Linked DNA regions of Oryctolagus cuniculus. The protein of the gene in region 2 purifies or fractionates together with the protein of the main gene of each other region. This does not show direct contact. Links are inferred from orthologs where the notes say so. Each region holds a gene or a part of one and is shown on either strand. Other genes may lie near its edges. The genes, in order: GATAD1, KDM5A, SIN3B, PHF12 and MORF4L1.

The links.
Region 1: the proteins of KDM5A (region 2) and GATAD1 purify together in Homo sapiens (affinity purification with mass spectrometry; 6 studies listed by BioGRID and IntAct, with this or other methods). This does not show direct contact. The link is inferred for Oryctolagus cuniculus from reciprocal best matches to the Homo sapiens genes KDM5A and GATAD1.
Region 3: the proteins of KDM5A (region 2) and SIN3B purify together in Homo sapiens (affinity purification with mass spectrometry; 4 studies listed by BioGRID and IntAct, with this or other methods). This does not show direct contact. The link is inferred for Oryctolagus cuniculus from reciprocal best matches to the Homo sapiens genes KDM5A and SIN3B.
Region 4: the proteins of KDM5A (region 2) and PHF12 purify together in Homo sapiens (affinity purification with mass spectrometry; 3 studies listed by BioGRID and IntAct, with this or other methods). This does not show direct contact. The link is inferred for Oryctolagus cuniculus from reciprocal best matches to the Homo sapiens genes KDM5A and PHF12.
Region 5: the proteins of KDM5A (region 2) and MORF4L1 purify together in Homo sapiens (affinity purification with mass spectrometry; 5 studies listed by BioGRID and IntAct, counting the BioPlex papers as one, with this or other methods). This does not show direct contact. The link is inferred for Oryctolagus cuniculus from reciprocal best matches to the Homo sapiens genes KDM5A and MORF4L1.

What each region holds. Positions count from the first base shown.
Region 1 is NC_091447.1:43,279,443-43,282,956, reverse strand, and holds part of GATAD1 (GATA zinc finger domain-containing protein 1), read right to left. Parts: intron 2,562-3,514; coding exon 2,378-2,561; intron 1-2,377. UniProt on the Homo sapiens protein: Component of some chromatin complex recruited to chromatin sites methylated 'Lys-4' of histone H3 (H3K4me), with a preference for trimethylated form (H3K4me3).
Region 2 is NC_091440.1:98,148,141-98,151,654, forward strand, and holds part of KDM5A (lysine-specific demethylase 5A), read right to left. Parts: intron 2,959-3,514; coding exon 2,777-2,958; intron 2,411-2,776; coding exon 2,286-2,410; intron 1,663-2,285; coding exon 1,512-1,662; intron 1-1,511. UniProt on the Homo sapiens protein: Histone demethylase that specifically demethylates 'Lys-4' of histone H3, thereby playing a central role in histone code. Does not demethylate histone H3 'Lys-9', H3 'Lys-27', H3 'Lys-36', H3 'Lys-79' or H4 'Lys-20'.
Region 3 is NC_091447.1:65,102,357-65,106,299, reverse strand, and holds the start of SIN3B (paired amphipathic helix protein Sin3b), read right to left. Parts: upstream 2,813-3,943; 5' UTR 2,766-2,812; coding exon 2,655-2,765; intron 2,413-2,654; coding exon 2,306-2,412; intron 1,296-2,305; coding exon 1,142-1,295; intron 1-1,141.
Region 4 is NC_091448.1:44,391,411-44,394,924, forward strand, and holds part of PHF12 (PHD finger protein 12), read right to left. Parts: coding exon 2,741-3,514; intron 1,168-2,740; coding exon 1,042-1,167; intron 380-1,041; coding exon 236-379; intron 1-235.
Region 5 is NC_091443.1:105,842,918-105,846,986, forward strand, and holds the start of MORF4L1 (mortality factor 4-like protein 1), read right to left. Parts: upstream 2,812-4,069; 5' UTR 2,778-2,811; coding exon 2,738-2,777; intron 1-2,737. UniProt on the Homo sapiens protein: Component of the NuA4 histone acetyltransferase (HAT) complex which is involved in transcriptional activation of select genes principally by acetylation of nucleosomal histones H4 and H2A.

The DNA.
Region 1 (3,514 bases), on a different chromosome or scaffold from region 2:
GGCACCTCCTCCCAGTCTCCCATGCGGGTGCAGGGCCCAGGCACTTGGGCCATCCTCCACTGCCTTCCCGGGCCACAGCAGAGAGCTGGACTGGAAGAGGAGCAACCAGGACTAGAACCTGGTGCCCATATGGGATGCTGGCGCCACAGGAGGAGGATTAACCAGTGAGCCACAGCACTGGCCCCAGGATTAACTTCTAAAAATCTGAATACTGGGGCCTGCGCTGTGGTGCAGCAGGTTAAAGCCCTGGCCTGAAGCACCAGCATCCCATATGGGCACCAGTTCAAGTCCTGGCTTCTCCTCCACAATTTAGCTCTCTATTACAGCCTGGGAAAGCAGCAGAAGGTGGCCCAAGTCCTTGGGCCTCTGCACCCATGTAGGAGACCCAGAAGAGACTCCTGGCTCCTGGCTTCGGATCAGCTCAGCTCTGGCCGTTGCAGCCATCTGGGGAGTGAACCAGCGGATGGAAGACCTCTCCGTCTCTACCTCTCTCTATAACTCTTTCAAATAAATAATAAAATATTTTTTTTTATTTTATTTGACAGGTAGAGTTATAAACAGAGAGAGAGAGACAGAGGGAGGGAGGGAGGGAGGGAGGGAAATATCTTCCTTCTGTTGTTCACTCCCCAAATGGCTGCCACAGCCGGCACTGCGCCAATCTGAAGCCAGGAGCCAGGTGCTTCCTCCTGGTCTCCCATGCGGGTGCAGGGCCCAAGCACTTGGGCCATCCTTCATTGCCCTCCCAGGACACGGCAGAGAGCTGGACTGGAAAAGGAGCAACAGGGACTGGAACCCGGGGCCCACATGGGATGCTGGCACCGCAGGCAGAGGATTAACCAAGTGAGCCACGGCGCTGGCCCCCTAAAATAAATCTTAAAAAAAAATTTGAATACTTCCAAACTTGTATTAATCAGTAACTTTGTTTAAGTCTACATCAAAAACCATCGTCAGTCTCTTAGCAACCTTGAACTTCCTAAAAGTGCAGCAGCTGACATTTCAACTGTCAACAGCGATATGCTCCAAAAGGATATCTAGGATGACATGTGCCACATTCAGAGGGACACCTACGGACCCCCTGTAATATTTCAGAAATAACTGGAATAGTTCTTTCAAAAACTAATATTTTTTTAAAGTTTTTTTTTATTTATTTGAAAGGCAGAGTTAACAGAGAGGCAGAGGCAGAGACAGAGATGGAGAAGTCTTCCATACACTGGTTCGCTCCCCAGGTGGCTCCAACATGGGTTTAGGGGCCCAAGGACTTGGGTCATCCTCTACTGCTTTCCCAGGCCATAGCAGAGAGCTGGATCAGAAGTGGAACAGCCAAGACTTGAACTGGCACCCATATGGGATGCCAGCGCTGCAGGCGGCAGTTTTACCTGCTATGCCACAGCACCGGCCCCTTTAAAATTATTTTTGAATATATGTTTACAAGAAACTCAGACATCCTAGTTCCTCAGCAGTAAGTTCTTTCGGTACACCCGGCCACTCAGGAAAGTCCCGTCCACATCACTTCTGGGTAGGTGACGCTGCTCTGACTGGAACAGCTGATGGCCTCAAACCTCAGCTCCATTAAATGCCCCTCGCTCCTTCTGCACAGCCCTCTTTCTTTGTACTCAGTGATGCTCCCGCGTTTCTGTTGCTGGTGCCGACTGCTGTGTCCCCACACAAAATCCCGTGGGGAAGCCCTAATCCTCAACATGATGGCCTTTGGAGCTGGGACCTTCCAGGAGGTAACTAAGGTGAAACGAAGTCACAGGAGCAGGACCCTCATCTGACAGGAGCTCTCCCACAACGTGCACACACAGAGGAAACCCTAAGGGGACATGGCAACAAAGCATTCACCTACAGCCAGTGCTGTGGTACACTGACAAAGCCCAGCCTGCAGCGCCAGCATCTCAAATGGGCACTGGTTCGAGTCCTGGCTGCTCCACTTCTGAACCAGCTCCCTGCTAGCACACCTGGGAGAGCAGCAGAGGATGGCCCGGGGACCTGGGCCCCTGCACCCACACGGGCGACCCGGAAAAAGCTCCTGGCTTCTGATCAGCTCAGCTCCAGCCGTTGCAACCATCTGGGGAGTGACCCAGTATATGGAAGATCTCTCTGTCTCCACCTCTCTGTAACTCTTTCAAATAAATAAATTAAAAAAAAAAAAAAATCACCTATAAGCCAGGAGGGAAGCCTTCCCCAGAAACCAGCCCTGGCTGCACCTGGATCTTGAATTCCAGACTCCAGAACAGTGGAAAACCAAATTCCCACTGCTTAAGCCACCCAGTCTGTGGTATTTTGTCACAACTGCCCAAAAAAGACTAATGTACTCTTTCGTATAATACTGGAGACTTAGCCAAGTTCAAGAAGCTGTTCTGAGTGTCAAACTCACCTATGATATAGGATGCAGGATCAAACCGGTCTCTGGGGCTGGAGAGAGTGGGAATGAGCCACGTCAGAGCCGCACTCTTCTCGCAGTACTGGTCCTGGATGAAACCCCTGATCTGAGCGTAGTAGGGCTTTCCATCTTGCTCATCAATCACAGAAACCACGTCGCCAATTTGGTAATACACACCCTGGGAGAAAGAGGAGTATCCCATCACGGAAGAACAGCATCACAGCTCTGAATCAGTGAGGCCCGCCTTACCATCGAAGTTTAAAGTGGTCAACAAAAGGTCTTGGAGATGGTCCAGCGTCAATGTGTATATGCTTGAAACCAATTCTAAAATGATTTAAAGAAATCAGAAACAGATATGCAAGGCGTATGTGATCATCTGCATCTGGAACAGAGTTCATCCAAACAAGTGCTTTGACGCTGCATCACAGCAGTGCTGCCTTGAAGAAAAGCAGCCTTCATTTGCTGGGAGCAGTTTTAGGTTCACAGCAAGAGCAAACCCGAGGCACAGACTTCACACGCCCTCCACCGCCACCCTGCACATCCTCCTGCATCCCCAGCACCCTCCGTGGCGGCCAGAACGCCCGGCACATGGAGGAGCCCTCGCTGACAGCCACAGACCACGGCCGCGGGGAGGGCCACCCTGGGTGCTGGGCCGCCCCCACAGTGCCACAGTCATGGTGCTGCGGAAAGGCCGAGACCCGCTAAGGGCTCTGAGGGGGACACTGCAGCCGCAGCTCCTAGGTCAGCACCCTGGCCTCTCTGCGCTGCCCGGACACCAGCGCGTACCTCTGAGAACAGACCTGCACACCTCCCACCCCAACCACCTACTCCAAGGAAACAGATACCATTCAGTTCAAACCAAAGGAATGACAGAAACTCTTGCGACAGTAATATCTCCAGGACATGTTTACCCTCAACGTACTGTCCATTTCCTAAACTTGCTGCTGCCCGCCGCCTCTGCTCTCTGTGTTTCACATCACCCCACGCTGCAACTACTGGCATTTCTGCCATTCAAGGCCTTGTGTCTTATCCATGTTATATACAACTAACGCAGCTACACACATCCTGTGTTAATGCTTCCTACACCTCTGCCTTCCATTCACATCTTCTTCCCTGGCTCTTCAATCAAAC
Region 2 (3,514 bases):
TTTAAAAAAAAATTTTATGGGGCCAGCACTGTGGCGTAACAGGTAAAGCCATTGCTTATAGTGCCAGCATCCCATATGGGCACAGGTTTGAGACCCGTTGCTCTACTTCCAATCCAGCTCTCTGCTATGGCTTGGGAAAGCAGTAGAAGATGGCCCAAGTTCTTGGGTCCCTGCACCCAAGAAGCTCCTGGCTCCTGGCTTCAGATTGGCGAAGTTCTAGCTTTTGGCGGCCAATTGGGGAGTGAACCAGCGGATAGAAAACCTCTCTCACTCTGTCTCTCCTTCTCTCTCTGTGTAACTCTTTCAAATAAATAAATGAAATCTTTTTTGAAAACGTTTAAAGAAAATTTATATAAACCTCAAGATTCAGGAATCATGTTTCAAAAATCTAATTTTAGAAGTCACTAAATGCATTCAGTGTAGAGATGAAGCCAGGCCATAAAATATATAGCTATTAATTAATTAATTAATTAATTTGGCTATATTGAAAATAAACTAAACTTCGTAGGCCTTACAAAATTATTTTCCCGCCTACCGCCAAGGGTTTGACCCACAGCCACTATACAAACTTCAATGTAATCAGCAGCACTGGGTCCAGCAGACCTGTCTACTATTGTCCTGCTACAGCAACTTACACTAACTTGAATTATAAAGAGCTTCTTGGGGCAGTGTTGTGACACAGTGGGTAAAGCCTCCAACAGTGACACTGGCATCCCATATGGGCGCTGGCTGGAGCCCCATCTGCTTCACTCCAAATCCAACTCCCAGCTAATGACCCAGGAAAAGCAGCAGAAGACAGCCCAAGTGCTGGAAGAAGCTCCTGGCTTTGGCCTGCCCCAGCCTCCACCACTGAGGCCATCTGGGGAGTAATCAGCAGATGGATGAGCTCTCTCTCTGACTTTCAAATAAATAAATAAATCTTTAGAAAAAAAATTAAAGAATATTTCACAGTTTCTGAGCACCTCTGCCCCCTAAAAAAGAAGAAAATAGCAGGTATATTTTGGGGGAATAGAAAGTCAAGGCCACAAGAAGTAAAAGATAATGTCAGATCTCACAGGTAACTTAAAATTCTGGCTTTTTGGGCCAGTGCTGTAGCATAGCAGGTAAAGTTGTCACCTGCAGTGCTGACATCCTATATGGGTGCAAGTTCGAGACCCAGCTGCTCCACTTCCAATCCAGCACTGTGCTACAGCTTGGGAAAGCAGTAGAAGATGGCCCAATTCCTTGGGCCCCTGCACCCACATGGGAGATTCGGACGAAGCTCCTGGCTCCTGGCTTCGGATTGGCTCAGCTCTGGCCATTGCGGCCAACTGGGTAATGAACCAGCAGATGGAAGATAGCGCTCCCTCTCTCCCTCTCTCTATGTGTAACTCTGATTTTCAAATAAATAAATAAACTTTTAAAAAATAAAAAATAAAGTCATTCTGCATACTTCTGACAGCTTTAAAAAAATTCTTTCACTCCAAAAGCAACAAAGAGCCAGTAGAAAATCAAACTTTTGTTACGCTTACCGGTGTTTCTGCTTTTTACTCAGGAGTAGCTGAGCCACAGAAGCACAGGTCTCAGCTTCTTTTACAGCATCCCTGAGTTTTCGAAAGAGCTCATTCTCTGGGTATTTCCTGTCCTCAGCATCTTCCAGCATTACTCGCAATTCAATCAAATCTGTAAAAATAAAAATACCATATACTGTGATCACAGAACAAAAGCCATTCTAAAATGTTCCCTAAACTCACTCAAGTGCGTTATCAACCTAATAGAAACCTACCACAGCTGTGCAATGAAAGCTGCTGACCAGGTGGGTGCTCGTTCCCTAATGCCTGTTCACAAACATAATAATCAAGTCTAGGGGCTGGCACTGTAGCATAACAGATTAAGCTGCCACCTACAACACAAGCATCCCACTGGTTCAATTCCTGGCTGCTCCACTTCTGATCCAGCTCACTGCTACTGGCCTGGGAAAAAGCAGCAGAACATGGCCCAAGTGCTTGGCCCCCTGTACCCATGTGGAAGAACTGGAAGAAGCTCCTGGCTCTTGGCTTTAGTCTGGCCCAGCCCTGGCCATTGTGACCATTTGGGGAGTGAACCAGTGCCTGGAAGACTGACCTCTGTCTCTCCCTCTCTATCTTTCAAATAAAAATAAGTAAACCTTTCAACAACAACAAATCAAGTCTATATTCAATCAACCCCTAGTCTCAATCCCAGAGGAAAAAATAACCCAAACTGAAAAAGACCTCTTTTAAAATGACATTCATTTCAACAAATTCATCCAAAAGGGGAAAAGTAACCTTTCTTGTGGTTGAAGTTAGCAGCTAATGCTTCTGTAACACGACTGACCCAGGTGTCATAGGACTGTGCCCTGACTTTCACACCATATAACAGAGAAGGGAGGTCTTCTAAAGGGTAACGATACCTATAAAAAAAAAAAAAAAAAAAAAAAACCAGAGATTAAATCCAATAACAACGTCAAAATAAGTTTCAAGTACAATCAGCTTAAGTACAATGGCCAGAGGAATAGGATCTTGATTTATATAAAATCAAAAAAGCCCACAATTTTAAACCAAAGGGAGATAAAGAACATATGAAATAAATAATAAGGAAACTACATTTTAGCTGCCAAGTATGGTCCAACTTTAAAGGACTAGTTCTCAAGCAGGGGAATTAGAGGAACAAACAGAAGGTATCAATCTAGAGACAGAGAAGGGAATAACCAACAACATCATTAACCAACAATATCATTAACAAGATAATGGAGGCCTTACAAGACACTTTTAGATACCTAAGACATTTCTTCTGCATGGGGCAGGGGCACAGATCAGTTGGATGGTAGAGACATACAAGCCGCTCAGGATTACAGGAGCATGTGAGAGCAGAGAGAAAACAGGTGGTTCTGCATGCTGAACACTGTCGTTCATCATCAGGAACAAGTTCAAACACCTCTTCTTCTGACATCAGGACACCCTGAAATATAATTTATGCCAGTAAATGAAATCTTTCTAATTTTTAAGGCATCAAAAATCTTGATTTTTATCTCTGTGGGCAAATTTCTGATTTAAGACATAAACATGAAAAGTACAATGGCACAACATGAAAATAATTTCTAAAAATAATCATTACTAGGGTGGGTGTAAGGGGCAGCAGGTTAGGGCCACTGTTTCCACGGCCCACATCCCAATCTAGAATGCCAATTCAAGTCCCAGCTACTCTGCTCCCAATCCAGCTTCTTGCTAATACACCCTGAGAGAAAGCAGATGATGGTTCAAGTGCGTGGGACCTTTTCACCCACATAGAAGATCTGCATGGAATTCCAGGCTGCGGACTTCGGCACGGCCCAGCCCTGGCAGCAGGGCATCTGGAGAGTGTACTGGGGGTGAAATTTCTGTTTCTTGTCACTCTGCTTTTTGACTAAATGAAAATAATTTTTTAAGATTTATTTATATATTTGAAAGTCAGAGTTACAAAGAAAGAGGAAAGGCAGAGAGAGAGAGAGGTCTTCCATCTGATGGTTCACTTCCCA
Region 3 (3,943 bases), on a different chromosome or scaffold from region 2:
TCACAGCCTGGGGGCGCTCTGGTCACCTCCACCCCCTGGGGAGGGGACAGGATCGTGCCCGCTCTCGTCATCTGGACAGCAGCCCTGGGGGACAGCGGGGCCCTGGGACTACTGCCGGGAGGCACCCACTCCCAGTAACCCTCCCGGTGCGGCTCCTGCCGAGACCTGGCCCGGGGAAGTGGGGTGACCCCCCCACTTAGGGGGTTAGGGGTGGTGAGCGCTGTGAGCGGGCGAGGGTGGGGACATCCGGGATGCCCCGGTGTGTACAGAGCATGCAGACACGGGCGACGCTGCTGCCCCGCACTGGGGAGCTGAACCCGCTAAGGCTCTGGCGGCCTGAAGCCCCGGCCCCGCCTCCAAGCCTCTCCCCATGGAGACGCAGGCCGCGGCTCAGTCCTCAGTGGCGAGGGGGCGGTGCTGCTGTGTGGGCAAGCCGGGTTTACACGTGCGCCGTGCACGCACGGGGAGGGGCTGGCCCCGGGCACGTCCCCGCGAGCTGCTCTCTGCCCAGGTCCTGATTCCCGGACACATCGGCCCCTCTGCAGCCTCCACCCGGTGCTTCCAGACCTGCCCCTCGCTGACGGGGCGGGGCATGGGCTGGAGGCGGAGGCGGAGCCGGCTCCCTCACACCAGCGGGGAGTACTGGGGAGGGGGCGGGGCAGGGATGCCGCAGGTGGCAACAGCAGGAGGTGCAGGCAAAGCCCTCGGTCACCTCCCGCACCTGCAGCTAGGCGGCCCTTCGTTGCGTCCCAGGGGCTGGGAGACCGGGCAGCTGTCACCCCGAGACAGAAGGAGCCGTGGCCAACAAGCCTGAGCTGAGCCAGTGCCCCAGGAGCAATTAAACGAAGCAAAGCTGCTTGCACGCGCGCGTGCACACACACACCCTCGAGCCTGCCTGGCACGCTTGGGAAAGCCGCACGCCACGGCTTCACGTGGCGTTTCCGGCTCTGACGTGAGATTCCGTGTCGGCAGGGCGCCGCCCCGAGATCTTCCACACAGACCAGTCAGGAGCCCAGGGACGCGCGTGGAGGTGGCCCCGCCTACTCTGATCGCGTGCTGGGAGCCGCGCCTGGGCAGCAGCAGGCCAAGGCCACGCCCACCCGCCCGCCCCGCCCCACCTGCCCCGCCCTCCCGCGCGTACCTGGCCTGACGGGGGCGACTGCACATTCAGCTTGCCATTCTTGGGGATGTCGATCCTGTACCCCAGCGGCAGGAAGGCGTTGAACCCCACGATGAGGTCGGGGTGCTCGTGGAAGAGCTGCGACACGCGCCTGATGACTCCGGGGGTGTCGATGCTGCGGGAGGGGCAGACACGGCGGCCGGTGGGCCGGGGAAGAGCCCCGCGCCTCCGCTCCCCTGCAAACCCGCCCCTCGGGCGACCAGGGAGAGGGGTCTCGGGGCTCAGCTCCCCCAGACGCTGCTGGCCACGCACTCCGTGAACAGCAGAAGGGCCCGCCGCCTGGCTGGGGACGCCACGTGCTCAACCCCACGGTACCGGATTGTGACACAGGCTCCCATCAGAGCAACGGGATTGCGACAAAGTATGGGAGGCGCGGGAAGAACGCCAGGGCAGAGCCCCCCCCCCCCCCCCGTGCCGGGCCCCCGCAGGAGCGGCCCAGAAAGGAAACCTGTCCAGCCGGGTTTCCGCGAGTCGCGGGGACAGGACCCACGGGCCACGGCCTGCGCCGCCCGCATCCCACATGGCAGCCCCACTCCAGACCCCGGCGCAGCGAAGGAAGACTTGGGGGTCCCTGCACCCACGTGGGAGACCCGGATGGAGCTCCCGGCTCCTGGCTCCAGCCTGGCCCAGCCCTGGCTGCTGCAGCCATTTGGGGAGTGACCCAGCGGATGGACGCTCGCTCTCGCGCGCATGCGCTCTCTCTCTCACGCGAATAAATAAGAAAACAGTACACACCTGAGGGTCTGGGCCCCCTCTACCTCCAGCTTACCAAGACAGCGTTCCCAACAGTCTGGGCGCGTGGCAGGTCCCTCCCTAAGCCTTTGGTACCCCTTACTTCTGAGCAGCCCCGGGGCTAGCGGGAGCCAATGAGGACCAAACTGAACTTTTCAAAACCAGCATTTTAAAATAAGAGACCCCAACCTCGCACCCCCCCCCAATCGTGGCTACAACTCCTTCCCCAATTTTTTTTGGGTTTTTTTTGGAGGGGTCGAAGCCCCGGGAGATGAACCCCTTGTGCAAGGTCACCCCGCTGGGAGGCGGCCCGGGGAGCCGGGTCCCCCAGTCTGCTTGGCCCGATTCCAGCCCGCGGCGGGGGGTGGGATGGGGATGGGGGGTCCCGGGTACCTCTGGCTTTTGAACTCCTTCATGATCTCCAGGAAGCCGTTGTAGGTAGCAGGGTCGCTGCCGAAACGGATCTTCACCTGGTCCAGGTAAGTCAGCGCGTCCTCGACCTGCGGGAACGGGGAGGGTCCCGGTGGGCAGGGGTCGCGGGGGCGGGCAAGGCACGGGACGGCGGGGTCCCGGGCAGCAAGGGCAGCGGGCTGCGCCTCCGAGGGGTCGGTCTGGGGTCCGGAGTCCCGGGCTGCGCAGAGGGGAGGCCGAAGCGGGGCCGGGTGGGGCCGGGGTGAGGGGGCGCAGGCCGCGGGGGCCGCGCGACGGGGGTCCCCGAAGGCAGGCAGGGGGTGCCACTCACATGCACGGGCAGCTTCTCGTGGCCCGCGGAGCCCGAGCGACCCCAGCGGGCGCCGCTCAGCCCTCGGCCCGCGGAGCCCCCGACGCCGCTGCCGCCACCCGCGTGCGCCATGTTGGAAGTCAGAGCCGAAGCCCGCCCCGCCTCCGCTGAGTCCCCGGTCGCGCACGCGCGGCTCCTCCCCGGGGCGGGGCCGATGACGTCGAGGAGTGGGCGGGGCCCTGGGGCAGGTGTAGTTCTGGAAGTTGGAGGTCCTGGCTGCTGACTGACAGAGCAGAGCAGGGGCTAAGCGTTTGTCAGGCCCCGCTTGATGGAAGAAAATTCTGTGTTTGTAAATAAAGTTTTATTGAAACACAGGCCCGAGCACTGGCTGCTTTCGCCCAGTAGCAGCAAAGCAGCCGCGACCCCTGCCCACGGGGACCCCCCCCTTGCTGGCTCTATGGAAGACGTGTGTGGCTCCCCTGCTGTGCAGGGCTTGAAGTGACCCTGGGGTACAGGCCTGAAGCACCCCGGGGCCTGCTCGGGGCCGTTTTGGCTACAAGGTCCTTGACTTTGCCCCTTTCCTCCTCTCTCCACTTCCCGTCTCCCCATCATTTTGCAGCTGGACCCGCTCCGGGGCCGCCAAACCAGAGTTCCCGAACTCGGTGCTCTTGTGGACTTGCGTCAGGAGTGGGCATTTGGAGTGAACCAGCAGAAGGAAGACACCTCTCTCCCTCCCTCTCCCTCTCTCTCTCTCTTCCCCCTGCCCCCACCCTGTCGTTTTGGCTTCCAAATAATCCTTTAAAAAATAGCCTGGTCCCCTCATCATCTAGAAAACACAACCCAAACTAGACTCTTTTTATTTTTATTAAAGATTTCTTTATTTATTTGAAAGAGTTACACAGAGAGAGGAGAGGCAGAGCGAAAGAGAGAGAGAGAGGTCTTCCATCTGCTGATTCACTCCCCAATTGGCCGCAACGGCCAGAGCTGCGCTGATCTGAAGCCAGGAGCCAGGAGCTCCAACCGGCTCTCCCACATGGGTGCAGGGGCCCAAGCACTTGGACCATTTTCTACTGCTTTCCCAGGCCACAGCAGAGAGCTGGATTGGAAAAGGAGCAGCCAGGACTAGAACCCGCGCCCATATGGGATGCTGGCGCTTCAGGCCAGGGCATTAACCCACTGCGCCACAGCGCTGGCCGCTTTATTTTTACTTTTTAGTATTTCTATTTGAAAGACGGAGATCTTACATCCACTGGTTCATTCCCCCCCAACCCCCCCAGCCCAGGTTGGGCCAGGTCAAAGCCAAGAGGGAG
Region 4 (3,514 bases), on a different chromosome or scaffold from region 2:
GCTCCACTGTGTCTCAAATGTCTTCCCCAAGACTGAACAGAAAAAGCTGTGGTTGCCATCTCACTCCTGCTCTGAGGGAGAATAAAAAAGCCATAGTGCTTTACTAAGCCCTTTAAAAGCACACAAGGAGATGCGAGATACTGGAAGCTGAGATTCTCCATGGAAGTAAAGTGGCTGTACACACAGAGGGGAGAGCTGGTGGTGCAGTGGTGCTGTGTGGTGTGTGCATGCGCACCTTCTGTGTGGTGCCCTCCGGAAGCCAGTGGATGTGTCCCGACACTGCCTGGTGAAGCTTGGACCCGGGAGGGGAAAAGCTGATGTATTCTCTGCAAGGCCAGAAACTTGATCAGCTTCTCGTCCAGCATATTTATCTCGATTTCTATTAATCAAAGAAAAAGATTAAAAAGCAGCTGAGGTGGAAATGGAATGTGGAAGTAGTTAAGGGTCACAGAGCAAAAAGTTCAGCATTTTTGAAATCCAGTCAAACAGCATCGAGTATAGAGGGGTTCAAGGAAGCAGAGCCAGGCAGCTCGCCATGTGCATGTGGGTATTTGGGCAGAGTAACTTTGGGTGAAGTGGTCCTAAAAAGGCAGAGCAAAATAAACCACTTGCCTACCTACGGGGACAGCCTGGTTGTCTGGTTTTGAGACTTGGGTTTCTATCTACCCTCTGTTCACAGAGGTCAGGATCTGTGCCTTTTCTCCTTGACTCTGGGGGTTGATGACTCCTTGACTTCGAGGAGGAAGCTCCCAGTTTTGCTCTGAAGGCCAGGTGATCTGCTGAAGTCACTTTGTTCTTGGCTCACTGGTTCAGCTCAGCCTTGTTTTCCCTTGTCTTTACAGGTACATGCATGTGTAGAAGGCAGAGCTAGCTTTTTTACTCCAATTCTCTACCCAAAGGGGCACTCCACACCCTCCACACCTTAGTCCCCTGAGATCAGGCATTGTTTCTTTTCTCTGTCTCTGAAATGAGCCAAATGTCGGACAAGGAAGGCCCCTGCACCCCAGCAGTTGGTAGAACAGAAGCAGCTCACGCACTCACCTCCATTGACATCCATAAATGCTCGAAGTGAGTTGGTGAGGTCCACCATGGCAGTAGAGTTGGCTGGGAAAGAGGGTACGGTTAAAGCGCTTCCTATGGATAACGTGCCGGGGCTGACCTTGCCATCTGGGGACGGAGCAGGAAGACTTGTTACTTACGTAGCCTGAGGGAAACCCACTGATCCAATCCCCCACTGCTGAGACAGGTCTGGATTTCGGACCAAAGGTGATGTTCCCTTCTTGATTCTCAACCCATAGGTTCTGGAACTCCTAGAGCTAAAAACGTGTGGTGAGGAAGGGCAAACGGAATGACAATGCACCCAGGGAACGCAGCAGTCTCCAGAGCACTGAGAGCCACTGTGATCTACTGCTTTGGGAAAGTGGTGGGGCAGCTTCATTTTCTGGGCCATGACCACCACCCTGCTGCCTCTAAAGGAAGTTGTACTTTCCTCTGTAATTCCTACCTACTGAAGTACGACTCAGAGCGTGCAGAAGCTATCCAGGCTGATATGAAAAGGTAAACCGAGACAGAAAAACAGCCTGGGAGCAGGGCCATCCTGGGACCAGGGGCCCCCATGCAGGGAAATCACAGTCACCTGGTTACCGAGACTCCCAGCTGACTAGGAGGCCGGCTTCAGTTCGGACAGGAGAGACCACAGGGGGTTCCAGCAGCATCTGAAACCTGGTTCAGATGCTGGGGTCAGCAACCTTGGGCTCCTGAGTGCTGACTAGGGGCAGCTGAGCAAGCAGGTCCATACTGGGCCAAGTATAGACTTAAGGGAATGCCCTTTAGCATGGAGCCTGAGAGCAAGCTTCTGAGCCAGACCAACCTCCACGGGCATCCCACTCTGAAGCTACTCTAAAACACTGTGATACTTTCTGTCCCAGTTTCCCTGACATGGAAGTTCCTCAAATGAGCTGGCTCAAAATCTCTACCAGGCATGGCTCTAGTCTTGTGTGAAACATGAAACACTGAGGCCATTACCTAGACCACAGTGGTTCCAGATAGCATGATGCTGTTTTTGAAGGTGATAGAACAAAACGAAACAGCCAGAAGTCTAGGCCTGGAAAGTGGGGGAAGGAGTCAGGAGACTCAGGTTGCAGTTCTAATCCGGCCACTGGGCACCATTAAGGAAATCATGTAAGCTTTCAGAGCCTAAGCAGTCCCACCTATAAAAACGGGGACAGGTTGACAATATGCTTCCTTTTCTATTACACAAATGGCTGTGGGGGGGAGAACAAACAATACAGAGATCAAAATCCCGTGATGAGAGCCAGCATTGTGGCACACAGGGTTAAGCCACCACTTGTGATGCTGGCATTCCATATCAGAGTGCTAGTTTGAATTCCATGAATTCCAGCTACTTTGCTTCTGATTCAGCTTCCTGTTAATGCACCTGGAAAGATGGTGGAGGACGGCCCAAGTATTTAGGCCCCTGCCACCCATGTGGGAAACCTGGATGGAATTTCTGGCTCCTGGTTTTGGCCTGGTCCAGAGCTGGCTGTTGTGGCCCTTTAGGGAGTGAACCAGCAGATGGAAGCTCTCTCTGCCTTGCCCTCTCTCTCTGATGCTCTGCCTTTTAAGTAAATCAGTATTAAAAAAAAATTCATGTGACATAGTCACAGCAGTATAAATGCTTTTGGAATCTTAGGTCTTGCCAGGAAGAATGTAAAATCACCCCAGACTGAGTAGCACTCACCTGATGATGGCGCTGGTGAGCAGAATCGTTGGTTGGCTCCTGTGGCCATGATACCATCTCCTGCTGCTTGGGGGGGAGTGAGCACCCGGGTGGCATTTGGGGGTGAGCCCAGTGGCCTTGAGTCTGTCAACGGAGGTCCTATCTGTGATTGGACAGTCTTTCTTTGCAAAGTGCTGGTGTTCTCAATGCTGGCACAAGAGCTGGGAATGGAAGGGGGCAGGCTTGGGACAGGAACCAAACTCCTCTGGGGGCAAGAGCTGGGGCCAGTGGCATTCTCTGTCTTCACAATGATGCCGACGGTGTGGTTCTGAAGCCCCCCAGCCGCTGGTGGCGTGAGGGGTCGAGGCCAGCTTTGCCGGTGTGAGAGGCCTGGTAGGGGGGTGTTGGCGCCTGGAAGTCGCCGGGGGTCCGTGGAATCAGTGGGGCTGCTGTAGAGGTGAGGGCCATTGGCTTTCACCTCTGTGTTCACTGGCCCGTTGGCAGTCCCACAAGGGGCTTTCTTGGATTTTTCCGCACAAGAACTGCAGCTGATGTCCTCTAGGGCTGGGGGCTGGTGGGGTGGAGAGCAGCTCAGGGAGTTCTGGGTGCTAAACCCTGAGGGGCAGGACAAGGGGTAGTGGGAAGCTGTAGGTGCCTTGTCAGCTGTTTGCAGGGAAGTGGTGATTGAGCTGTCAGTCACAATAACAGGCTTAATATCAGCCTTCTCTGTCTGTTCAGAGTCCCAATGCGAAGGCATCTGCTTAGCAGATAAATGTTTCAATATGCTGCACTGGA
Region 5 (4,069 bases), on a different chromosome or scaffold from region 2:
AAACTCCAATCAAAGTGGAGACTGAGATACCAAGATCAGTGACTTTTCCAACAGCTTAGGGGTACAGATAAACTACACTGCTAACAAACAACAGCACCAAAGAGCTGATCTGTGAGCTCCCTGGTTCCACTTCCATGTACATTTTTAAGGTACCGCGAAAATGGCTTAATCTCTCCTCTCTTCTTTTCTTGATGGCTGCTGCCAAAAACTACCCTAAGGCTGATACCTTCTGACCTCCATTCTAGCTACCTGACCCTAGTATTCTGTTGAAATACCAGCTAGCTTAAGAGCATGACCCTGGATAACAAATCGTTGATTTTTCGCTGAAGTAGAAGAGCAGTAATTTGGAAACAGCAGGCCACCATATTTGGTAGGTTTTTCACACTATTCTCCACCATTAATCCTTTCTAGTCCCAAGGCGAATTCTGCTCAATGTTTTCAAATTCAAGATTAATGACAGTCCCGAGTTCCCATCCTCCCACTGGTTGTGCTCATTAAAAGCCACCATCAGCCAATTTCTTAATTCCTGACAGAACTGTCTCCCCTCAAAGGGGATAATGTCCAAGTGTCCGTTGCCCTGCGCTTTAACAGCTGCAAGTGGCCCAAGCCTGCGCGTTCATCATGCCTGAACACTGCTCGCTGCATTTTCATCTGCTTTGTGCTGACATTCTGTACCATGAGTAAACCTGGGTTCACACTACTCAGAAAAAAATCAAATTCTGGCAATTCCTACTTTTACCCATCACATTACATTCTCTTCTATAATGTTTCAATTCGGGTAGCACTGAACAAACATTTCTTCTTCCTTAACACGATATTCTCTGAATATTTTAGTTTTACAAAGAAAACTGTTAAATTCAGGTGTGAAGCAACAGAAAACTACCCAGCAAGCGCGGAGACCGCACCTGGGTACCTCGGTTCCATGTTCCTTCCTAGTATCACCCCACTCTACCATTCCTGTGGTTTAGAACCGAAACACGGGGGGAGGGGCAAGTGGCACAATGGGTAAAGCTGCGGCCTTCATGCTGTTCCACTTCCAAACCAGCTCCCTGCTATGGCACCTGGGAAAGCAGAAGATGGCCCAAGTGCCTGGGCCCCACACAACGTGGGAGACCCAGATGAAGCGCCTGGCCTGGGCTGGTGGGGCCATCTAGCGAGTGCACCAGCTCCATAACTCTTAAAAAAAAAAAAAAAAAAAGTGCTGCAGAGTTGTTCCTACATCGGAGCCTATAGTTTTTTCCATTTCTACAAACACGTAAAACAGGGTCTGTATCTTCCACACAAAGCTGGGATATAAAAAGTACACTGCTACAACGAGGCGTTCAGCTGTTGAGGGAGAGCGTTTCCATTAATATCCGCAATAGCTAGTTTCAGCCTTGATAGAAAAAAGTTTTGTGCCCCGCCAGGCTCACGGGCTTTCTGAACGACATCCATCGACCCCTGTTCTGAACACCTAGCAAAATCACGACTCCAGAGGACACAGCCACAGGCATCCCGGCGGGAGGCGGGAGGCGCTCATCACCCACAGTACCCCGGGACCCCGGGAGAGCCCTCTCACATCCCACTGAAGTCACGGCACACTGGGGCTCCGTCTTTAAAGTTCTCCTAGCTGCACGCATTCAACCTGAAAAGCCCCCACACAGGCCGCGCGCACGTCGGACAGGGCATCGGAGGTACTCAGCACCCATCTCCCTGGCACGAAAGGAAATGGGCAGTTCCTCCTCGCCCAGACCTCACCGGCCCGCGACCCGCGCAAACACAGACAGCCTCATACACACTCCACGGGCGCCGAAGGCCAGGGCCGCCATTCGCCCAAGTCGGCCGAAACGCTCGCCCATAAAAAAAAAAAAAAAAAAATCAATACAAATTCTCCGTCGAGTCACTTCATCAGGTTTTATGGCCGCGGGTCACCCACAGTCCGCGGCCGCACCAAAGCCCGTTTCTCTGCGCGGCACACGAGCCGCCGCACGGCGCACGCGCACCCCGGGCCCCGCCCCTGGGCGGAGCCAGCGATGCCCGCAGGCCACACAAAGCCGCCCCGAGCGCCCAGCTCGCTCCGGTCTTGTTTTTCTCCCCCTCCGCGCCCCCCACCCGCCGCTCCGAGGTGAGCGCGGGGCTCGGGCCTCCCCGCGCGGACGCCGAGCCAGGGGGCGCTGCGCCCGCCCCGCACCGGGGCCGCGGCCCACGCCGACGCCGGCGGCCATCTTGCGGCGGCCATTTTACAACGCAGTTCTCCCGCCCCGGGGCGCCGCGCCCATCCCCCACCCGCACCCCCACACCCCCCTCAGCCGCAGCTCCGCGTCCCGGCCCAACGCCGACCACCCCGGGGCTGCCGGCGGCCACGCTCCGCCGGCCGGTTCCCGCCACCGCGGCCGCGGGCCCGTCGCCCGCGCCGCCGCCGCCGCCTCCCCCACGCCACATCACTTCCCCTAACGGCCGCCATGGCGCGCCGCCGCCCCACAATGGGCTGCCTCGCCCGCGCCCTCCTCCTCCAAACAATAACAAACGCTCGGCCGAGGCTCTGCCCCGCGCCGGGCGCGCCTCCCGCCGCCCCGACGCCCGCCTCGGCGCCTCCGCCGCACAAAGCCCTTCCCCTCGGGCCGCCCGGGGCCACCGTGCGCAATGCGCTTCCCCGCACAAAGCTCAGCCCCCCGCCCCGGCCCGCGGGCCGCCACCACCCCGCGCCGCCTGCCTCCCCGGGCCGTTAGGCGCCTTCCCCTCAAAGGCGCACACTTACCCTCCTGGAATTTAGGCTTTGGGTCCTGCTTGGGCGCCATTTATAAGTGATTCGCCGCCTCCTCCTTCTCCCACCACCCCCGACTACCGCCCCCTACTCTCTACCCCACCCAACTCAGCGTCAGACGCGCCGTCAGGAACCGCCGGCTCTACATCCTGGGCCCGATTTGCCAGCGTCCGCACACCTCACCGCCCCGCGACCCGCGCAGGCGTCGCGCCAGCCAACTGCCGGCCGCCGCGCACGCGCCGCTGCGCCCGCGCCGCCGCGGGGCATGCCGGGACTTGTAGTTCCGGCGGGGCGGGCGCCGCCGCGGGGCGGGGGCGGGAACGAGGCGCCCCTCCCCCACCCGGCGTGGGCGCCCGCGCGCCGTCGGCGCGGGTGGCTCACGGCTGGGGCTGGTTTTGTGGGTTGTGAGAGCTGGGATTGCGGTTCGGGGGGCCAGCCGCGGGGGAAGAGTGGGAATCGCACTGCTTGCGGAGTTCCCCTCAGCAAAGCCAAGGCCGCAAAGATGAGGGGTACCCGGGGCTCGGGAAATGGTCGACGTCTGGAAGCTTCCTGGTGGGGCAGGGTCGTGGCCGGCTTGTTGGGTGGACGGGACCGAGGGCCATTGTTGGACTCCCGTTTCTACCTTCGCTGCTCGCCGGGCCGCGGCCTGCGGAACTAAGGAGGGAGACGCAGGGCGGGGGTGGGGGGCTGGTGGTCTTGGGCGGAGCGCTTAGCCAAGCGCTTAGCCGGGGGCTCAGGTCCCCGCAGCGGCCCCCAGCCCACCCGCCGTGCAAGGTTTGCAAATCCTCCGCGCGCCAATTCTGGACGCAGCGCCATTGCTGTGACTCCAGCCTCCATGTAACAGCCCCTGCTTTTACCTGCGACAACCCAGAAGGTGTCTTCCTCGTTCGCTCTGAACCAACACCAGCTCAGCTTTCCTCCACTGCCCCTGAGGGCACGGACGGAAGCAGCGAGGGCTCTCCATGGCCCCAGCCCCACCAAAACTAGACCCTATAGGACTTTTTAAAAAACATTGTTTACAATATAAAGTACTTATATATTGGGGTTTTTTTAAAGATTTATTTATTTGAAAGGCAGAGTTAGAGAGGTGGAGAGAGAGAGAGAGAGCTTCCACCCGCTGGTTCCCTCCCCAATTGGCCACAACAGCCAAGAGCTGGACTGATCCGAAGCCAGGAGCCAGGAGCTTCTTCCAGGTCTCCCACGTGGGTGCAGGGGCCCAAGCACTTGGGCCATCTTCTACTGCTTTCCCAGGCCAGAGCAGAGAGCTGGACCGGAAGTGGAGCAGCGGGGTCTCGCCCATGTGGGATGCCAGTGCCCCCTACGCTA